Linked DNA regions of Tribolium castaneum. The protein of the gene in region 2 binds, or shares a complex with, the protein of the main gene of each other region. Links are inferred from orthologs where the notes say so. Each region holds a gene or a part of one and is shown on either strand. Other genes may lie near its edges. The genes, in order: Vamp7, Sec20 and Syx18.

What was found.
Region 1: Sec20 (region 2) and Vamp7 share a complex: the UniProt entries of both Homo sapiens proteins name them as parts of the SNARE complex. The link is inferred for Tribolium castaneum from reciprocal best matches to the Homo sapiens genes BNIP1 and VAMP7.
Region 3: Sec20 (region 2) and Syx18 share a complex: the UniProt entries of both Homo sapiens proteins name them as parts of the SNARE complex. The link is inferred for Tribolium castaneum from reciprocal best matches to the Homo sapiens genes BNIP1 and STX18.

The regions. Positions count from the first base shown.
Region 1 is NC_087402.1:8,581,610-8,584,357, reverse strand, and holds Vamp7 (vesicle-associated membrane protein 7), read right to left. Parts: upstream 1,616-2,748; 5' UTR 1,424-1,615; intron 1,372-1,423; coding exon 1,168-1,371; intron 1,116-1,167; coding exon 887-1,115; intron 832-886; coding exon 764-831; intron 716-763; coding exon 551-715; 3' UTR 538-550; downstream 1-537. Other genes in the region: uncharacterized protein LOC103312779, read left to right, coding at 1,890-2,748. UniProt on the Homo sapiens protein: Involved in the targeting and/or fusion of transport vesicles to their target membrane during transport of proteins from the early endosome to the lysosome. Required for heterotypic fusion of late endosomes with lysosomes and homotypic lysosomal fusion.
Region 2 is NC_087395.1:17,502,701-17,505,612, forward strand, and holds Sec20 (vesicle transport protein SEC20), read right to left. Parts: upstream 1,523-2,912; 5' UTR 1,422-1,522; coding exon 1,341-1,421; intron 1,287-1,340; coding exon 1,114-1,286; intron 1,065-1,113; coding exon 644-1,064; 3' UTR 618-643; downstream 1-617. UniProt on the Homo sapiens protein: As part of a SNARE complex may be involved in endoplasmic reticulum membranes fusion and be required for the maintenance of endoplasmic reticulum organization. Also plays a role in apoptosis.
Region 3 is NC_087400.1:1,051,409-1,054,120, reverse strand, and holds Syx18 (syntaxin-18), read right to left. Parts: upstream 1,686-2,712; 5' UTR 1,548-1,685; exon of another isoform or gene 1,544-1,547; intron 1,498-1,543; 5' UTR 1,467-1,497; coding exon 582-1,466; 3' UTR 501-581; downstream 1-500. Other genes in the region: zinc finger protein 239, read left to right, coding at 1,737-2,121, 2,167-2,418, 2,474-2,712. UniProt on the Homo sapiens protein: Syntaxin that may be involved in targeting and fusion of Golgi-derived retrograde transport vesicles with the ER.

The DNA.
Region 1 (2,748 bases), on a different chromosome or scaffold from region 2:
GCTGTCAGTTTTAAAAAATAATTTTCTCTTTGAATTATTGTTTTTTTTGGCTTTAAATTTGTCGTTGGGATTTTCTTTAACACAGAATCCTTTTCTTTTTTTGCAGAATCTCTAAATTTTTTTTTTAGTAAGACCTAATATGAGACATATCTACAAAAAGAATGCTCGAGTTGGCAAATCTAAATCTTTTTTTTAAGTGGTTCGACTAATGATAGCTTCTCCGTATCCAGTTGCTGAATAAGAAAATTCTTTAAATTTGTTACCAACTAAAACAATTATTCTTGATTTTTTTGTGTTTAATTCTTGAATTTTTTGAGACTTTTTAATACGTGATTAGATAAAAGACTAGAGGGAAAATAAAACAAGAGTATATTTTGTCTGCTTTATTCAAGTAACGATACCTTAACAATTACAAAATTATAAATTAACGAAGATAAACTACATAATTATAAAAGAATGTTTTTATCACTAATTTTGCGGAATCTTATTTACATAAAGATAAAACGGTACAGTGTTTAAGTAATGAATAAAGTAAAATATCTTAAAATTTTTATTTCTTAGCAATACAGCCCTGCCAGAGAAGCCCTCCGCAAGCCATGCAAACAATAAAATAAACAATCACAGTAATAATCACACCAATGATAACATAAAGCTTAACGTTTTTCCAAAACATGGAACGTGCCAGATTGCGACTTGTCTTCCTGAACGTCACAGACTGAAAAAAAGTTTCAGAAAAAAAAACAACTTTTTATTAAATACTCACCCCACTATTCAAATTTTCAGCTTTATTTACTAACAGTTCCAGCCTTTCTCCCCTCATCGCCACATTATCTTATCAATGAACGCAGTAATAAATATCACATACAAAATATTTATTCACACTCACCTATATTCTTGACCATAATATTTTTAAGTTCATCCAACTCTCCATGAACTCTTGAAATTGTATCCACATCATGGGATTCGGAATAATGTTTCATTTCGTTGGCTAGAACCCTGGAAAATTCAGAATTCATCGCATATGCAATCGCAGTCTGGATAGAGTCCCCATATTGGGACCTGAAACGCCTTTTAATTTCATTGAGAAATAAAAACGCCCGTGACCTCTCAAACTCCTGAAACAATGATGACAATACAACCAAGTATTTACGCGACATTCCACGTTACATCGTCAGTAATACACATGTAAATAACTTGGTTTTCACAAACATAGTGGAACAAATAGTTCCCGTGCGAGTACGTCAACTTATCATCATGTGGTGGTATTTTTCCGATGATCTGTTCAGTAACTTCAGCGAAATTCCCGGCGCAAGAGGCATATCGAACTAGAACGGTGCTTCCCCGAGATATTACACTATAAAGAATTGGCATCTATAATGAATAAACAATGTTAATTGATCCTAAACAGTTGGGACGTAATTACGTTTTATTTTTTCCGATTTACGTTGACACCTTCACATAAACGCCAAAAATGCCACACACGTAACAATGATAAAAACGCGCACAACGAACACAAATATCTTTGAATTAATTGGTATTATTATAAAAAATTGAGAACAATAACAAAAACGTCATGTGTCACACTGACGTTTGGTTTCAAAGTGCGCATGCGTCAGCGATGACTCAGTCGATGTTCTAAATACCACACCAGTGGCGTCCGTGCATTTTCAAAATTTCTCCAAAAAAATAATTTCATAGTAAAATTCGGCCACGATACCGAAAGTAACACCTTGGTTTAGTTTGAGTGAGATTTATTTGAATCAAATAAAACGTGTTACAAGCGTTGTTAGATGTTGTGGTTTTTGAAAATCGAGTGGCGCGTTGTCAAAGAATTCAAAAAATGTGGCCGAGCAAATAATTCCAATCATTTCAATTTCATGGCGCAAATTATGGAATTCCTGTTAAATTTATTGTTACTGCGTGGGAAGGTTTTAACCACAGCAGCGGCCGAGACACTCCACGAATATATCAAAAAATGTATGCACTTCAAGCGAAAAATTTCGACCGAATACAGCAACGCGACCCAAATAATCCCGTTTGAAAACATGTTGGAGTTTATCAACAACTCGAGCAAATACACCTGTGAGGGAGACGTTGTGACGAACGATCTCCGCTACTTGTACGAACACATAAACCGGGTAAAGCAAGAAAATGAGAAACATACACATACTGTTGCTTTGGTGCCGCAAACCGTTGATAAAAAATTGGAAGAGTTGCCGAAAAACCAAAATTTGAACACAGTCCCTGAATGGTTGCGCCGTGAACACACCAAAATTAACGAGTTTAAAGTGAAAAGTCAGGAACACATCATTGACAACTTGCACGCAATCCTCAAATCGCAAGAGTTTCTCTTCAAGAATATCATCAAACTGGTGAACATCCTCGAGAAGGATGCCCTCATCAACTCAAACAGCGAAAAACTGGACAAAATCAAGAGGAAACTTGTCGCATGCACTGATATTTTGTCAAACGCAGCCACTTCGCAACAATTCACAAGCCTCATCAATAAAATAATCGAAGAAGAGATCACGCGTTGTAGATTCAGGCACGGCGAAAGCAAAACCAGCGCTGAAATTAACTTAAAAGTGCCGAAACCTGAGGGAATCGAAGCTGCTTTGGACATGTCGCACAAGAACAACGACATCAGAAGAATGAAGAAACAACTAGCTGAGAAAATTGCAAAACCAAGCGTACAAAATAAACAGAATGAGCGTTTAAGGGGCCGTATTATTGACCTGGAAGTGAAAA
Region 2 (2,912 bases):
GATATGATTTTTTTTTAATTGAACATAGGATTAATAGAATTAGGGTGTTCGGTAAAATAAAATCTTCGCTGTATATTTGAATTGGATAGTTTAAAAGGTAATTTGATCAATGCTTTAAGAATAATTAATGAAGACCAAAACCGTTGTATTAAAAGATCAGTTGAATGTAAAGAACAGCGTATTATAGAACAAGCAAGAAATCATAATAGAAAAATCTGTACTTTCATAAATTATAAAGAAGCTTATGATTATATTCCCCATTCTTGTTTAACCGAAAATACATAAAAATATATAAAATACGTCGGTTTTAAACAATCATATCAATTGAGTTTTGTTAAGAGATTTAAATACCATGCGATCAATTGAATTTATAATTAAAGTAGGTGATTTTTTGTCTTTGTGATTAAAAGCTAGTACGAACTGAGGGAAAAATCAGTTCTTTTAAAAACCCAATATTATTATTATTATAAATGTCTCAATAATAACGAAACGTATTTTAATAATAATGTGGTTACAACAATACAATAAATAATTTATTTAGCGTAATCTGGGGGCTTCCCAGATGCCTTGGACCAAGGTCCTTCAGTCTATAAAAACAATACTCGTAAAATAACTCATTATAACGAAAGTAGTTGAAGTTTATTTAAAATAATCGTTTTTGCACGATATAAAAAACACACGCCACAAAGAAGACAAACGCAAAGAACATGAGGATTTTATCGGTGAATTCCCTTCGCCCATACTTCGCCAGCAATTTCCCCGACTGGCTAATTGTACTTGAGGTTATTTTGAGTTCTTCCTGTGACCCGATTACACTATCGGAGGAAGTAACTAGCGCGTCCAGCGTATCCGCACTCCTTTTCGTCGTATCAGCTAATTGCCGACTGATTGATAACAACTGTTCGGTTACATTTGAGCTCATTTTGACCAAATTTTCCTTATCGCGTTTTTGCCTTTGACGCAGCGCCGTTTCCTCAGTTTTCGGTTTCAACAACTCCTCCTGAGCCCCCTTTTCTATGGCCAACATCGCACTAATATTGGCCTTTTTGAACGCCTCCATTGTGCTACAAAATTAATCTCTTCACACAAATGCGACACAATACACCAAATCACCTCGCTAATTGTTCACGATACGAAACTACGTCTTTCAAAAACGTGGGGTTTTTGCGCTCTTTGGCTATATCCCCGAATTTGTCGATGAATTTCCGCAAGGCGGAAATTTTTGAACGTCCCGCGCTATTCAAACCTTGCAATTCAGCCAATGGGCCGACGCATGCGTTGATGTCCTACCACAACACGGACGTGTCAAAAATCAGGGTTTATTTGTGGGTAATACGCACCTGAATTATCGCTCTAATTTGTAAATTGTGCTCAGTTATGTCTTTTCTCAACGTTTCTAGCACGTAATCGGATGAATCCATCGTTTTAAGCTCGTTAGCACCCGACTAAGCTAATGGAATGTAAATCTAGTAACCTACTCATGAGCAGGGTTTTCCGTTTTTGAACCAAGCAATGGCGCCAATTCAAAATTTAAACGTTAGTTTAAAGTATTAGCTCTTTGAAAAGTATGTAAACGCCAACGTCACATTTTTCTCAAAATTAGTTGTTATAAATTATTTATACACTTCAAAAAATTGATAGATAATGTAATTTATATTTTCAATGAGATCTAACCATTAATACGTATCTTACATTTATTTTTACCTTATTTAAAAAAATAATTTGGTAAAGAGCGTGGTTAGCGATTATTTTTTGTTGGTTTTGAATTTTGAGTAAAGACTGAAAATTTAAAAAATAAAATATCACTTTTAACACAAAACAAAAAAAACAATATTTTGTTTCTTTAAGCCTTTCCCTCCTTTTAAATTTTAAAGTAGGGGTGGCTAGCGATCAGGGGATGAAACCTAAAATGTAACTAATATTGGTTTTGAATTTCCCTTCGAGATCCTAATCGATCGGTTTTTGCTTGAAAATATCTTTATTCAATATCAACAGTTATTGAAATACAGTGGAACCTCCCTTAATGGACACCTCCGAAAAACGGACACCTCTTCACAACAGACATTTTTGTAAGAAGTTAACAATATATTAAAATTTCCACCTCTCCACAATAGACAATTAAAGGTTCCCCATCAGTGTCCGTTGTTGAGAAGTTTTACTGTACTCGTAAAATAGTACTTAAATCAATAATGGACAAATTTAGAGACTCATATGAGCCTAAAATTAGGGCTTTTCGAACTTAAACCCAAGAAGTTGTGGAATGATATTTGAGTTCCTAAATTGAGTCTTTCTCGCTCGCTAAGGCAACTTTTGCGGATCATTTAGGTGAATACAAAAAAAGTGTTTCGAGGGATAGCTGTACAACTTCAAGGATTTCCAGGACTGTAAAAGGATGTATAAGGAATGTATGGTGTACAAGATTTAGATCAGATGTTTACCCCTCGCAAATGGTAAAAAAACAAAAATTAAAAACAAATTGTAACGATTGGTCATTTACTACTAGACCACCATTTATTTCCTTAAATGAGGCAATGCCATTGAATAAAATAAATGAATGATTCATTCGATAGTTCAAATCGCTGTTCAAATCATTTGATAACTGATTATTCCATAGTCAAAATCATTCGACTGTGTGCAAAACTAGTTACTAACACTCCGCGAAAAAAATAGTACTTGACCAAATTTGCGTTTTTGCATTAAAATGTTTTATTTCTCGCTTGGAGAAGTCACAATGTTTAGGATTAAGCCCATATTAACAACCAACTAGGAATATTCGCAATTACCTGCGAAAAAACTGTAAAAATTCTTGATAATGCTCCCCTTGTGATGGTCTTCAAATAACCAAAAACAAATCCACCACCAACAATAAATATTTACTATAACACAAACTAAAAACGATTATCAACACTACA
Region 3 (2,712 bases), on a different chromosome or scaffold from region 2:
TTCATTAATTGGAATACCAGTACACAAAAGTAATTAACAAGACCAGACCCTCAATCCTACAGTCCTTTTCTTTTATATCCTAGTTAACAAAAAAACTATAGACTGTTTTGTCCAATCCCCATATGAGAAGTATTGGAAGTTGTGGTAATATTTATTCATGTTTTTAATGAAAAATGGGTTACTCGTGTTATATCAGGGAGTTTACATCAGCTTTCCCGTTATTTGGGTTTCGAAAATTTTTGGTTTCATACCTTTCACTTCAAAAATCAGTAGCTGTGCCATTTTTAAAGATTTTGAAATCGTTTTTTGGGCATTTTACAAAGAAAACAAACCTTTGCTTCAATGAGTTCGAAATTGGAAAAATGTTAAACTCAAAAATTTTTCAAATAGAATGTCCCGAATTTTATAATTCCTTTTCTATCAGCCACAGTTTGCAAACAAACAAATTATTAAGCTTGGGTTTCAGCAATGTTTTATGTATTTTTTTTAATGTAAGAACCTTTTTGGTCGATTTATTCTTTATTGCCGAGTTATACAAAAATATGTTTTTTCTTATAAATAATTTATTTTTTCTAGGTTTGTTAATCGTTATACCAGTCGAGAAACAGCAGCGAAAACGACATAACTAGCAGAAAAAACAGCACCCAGACCCTCAAGCCTGCATTCCTTTGAATCGCTTGTCTGATTTGCTCATTAGCGTCCCGCATGTTACTCGTAGCCCCCACGACGTTGTTTGCAATCCTTTCTATATCCTGTTCCTGTTGCAAGACCTTCTCCGTGAATAATTCCTGAAGTTCGGCAATGTGCACGACTTTGCTTTCCATTTGTTTGACTTCCTCGGACGTTGAGTTGAGCTCATTGTAGAGCATTTCGTTTTCCGACTCAAACATTTGCATTTCTTCAACTGATAGCTGGTCTTCGATATCGACGGGAGGGGGCGATACTGGGGGTACAATCGGGGGTTCCAAACTCCCTTTACTGCCAATTGTCTCCAATTTGGCCACTTTGTGCGTCTCCAAGACACGTTTCACGCGAATTGCCTTCGCCTCGGTGTATATTTTGCTAACTGTCTTTAAGTAGCGCTCGAGTGAGTCGATCACGTTGTGGTAGTGTTCCTCCTTTTGCTTGCTTTTGGGCAGCTTGCAAATTTCTTTTTTATAGTCGCTAATGAGGGAAGTACATGTGGTTACGATTTTCTCAGCTGTTGTGTCTATTTGCTCTCGGTCAACCTCCGTCATGGTTTTATTGGTGGATAAATAGTTTAGTACGTTCAAGTACGCTGCTTTATTCTCTAAGAGGAAGGTTTGGAAGTGCGTTATTTGCTTCACCACTTCTTTAGCAGTCGCCAAATTGGGGTCCTTCGGACCCGACTTCGGGAGCGCCGGTTTGGACTCTTGCAGGCCTAAGGCCTTGTTAGTCGTCCTCACAGTCTTAACACAAGCCTTGAAAAGTATTGTTATGTCCATTTTTGCCCCGAACAAGTGACGTGTACCTAACCTAAAAGCCACAACGTCAAAAAATTTATCAAATCAATCGAACGCACCGACAAATCACACGTTACGGCCGTAGAACGGCTTAATTAATTTAGAAAAGGGGGCACAACTTTCACAAACTCATAAAATACCGTTTTTTAACATTTTTGTGACTGGTCAAGTCGCCCTGTCAGCCACCGCGATTCGTTTTTGTTTACAATTGTTGAACATAACCAAACTTCCAGTCAAGCGTTATTCTGGAAAATGTGTGCGTCGGTAATTGGTGATTTCGTGAAAAACTTGCACTTAATGACCCTCCCGACGCCCCTCTGGGCCGTGCACATTGACCCCAAGGAGCAGTTCCTGGCCGTGTTGCACGTCAAGCCCCACTGTGATAAAGTGGTCATTGATAAGGGGGTGCTCCTGACTTGCGATAGCGGCACTTTAAAGACTTCCGTGTCGTTTCGTGACGAAATTGTGCAACTCCCGAGCTCAGCGTCCAAAATTGAGACAATTTCCGATCTAACAAGTCTCATTTATTCGCTCCATGATGTGCGGTTTTGTCTGAACGCCGATTTGGGGCTCGCCAGGTGTGCGAAATTTGTGCTGGGCGGGGGCGCAGACTTGTGCGAGTTTTGCTCGTTTGAAGGTAGGTTTAGTGGCTGTTTGGTGTTTTAACACTGGGGGTGTTAAGTTTTTAGTGCTGCGAGGGAAGAGCAGTCCCTCTCGTTCATAGATAGCCCCCTTTTGGACAGTGGTGAGGACAAACGTAAGGAAAAACAGTATTTGTGCACAGTGTGTGGCAAGACGTTCAATTGCTCGTCCGGGTTGGAGCACCACATGCTGACACATGCGCCCCCCGATGATAAGCCCTTCAAATGCAAAGTTTGCACTAAAGCCTTTGCCAAGAAATACAACTTGAATGTGCACGCAAGGGTCCATTCCGGTATTTTCTCAAAAAAAGGTCATTATTTTTTATTATAATTTTTTGTTTGTTGTAGGTGAGAGGCCGTATATTTGCAGCCAATGTGGTAAAACTTACTCGACTCGGAGCAACCTCTCGACTCACATAAACAGCACTCACTGTGATGAGAAAAAGCACCATTGCAAGCTCTGCGACATGTCTTTTGTCCACCCAAGAGTGCTGAGGATTCACATGAGGAAACATACAGGGGAGAAGCCCTTCATGTGCCAGGTTTGTGGTAAACTTTTTTCCAAAAATATTCATTTAACGATTCAT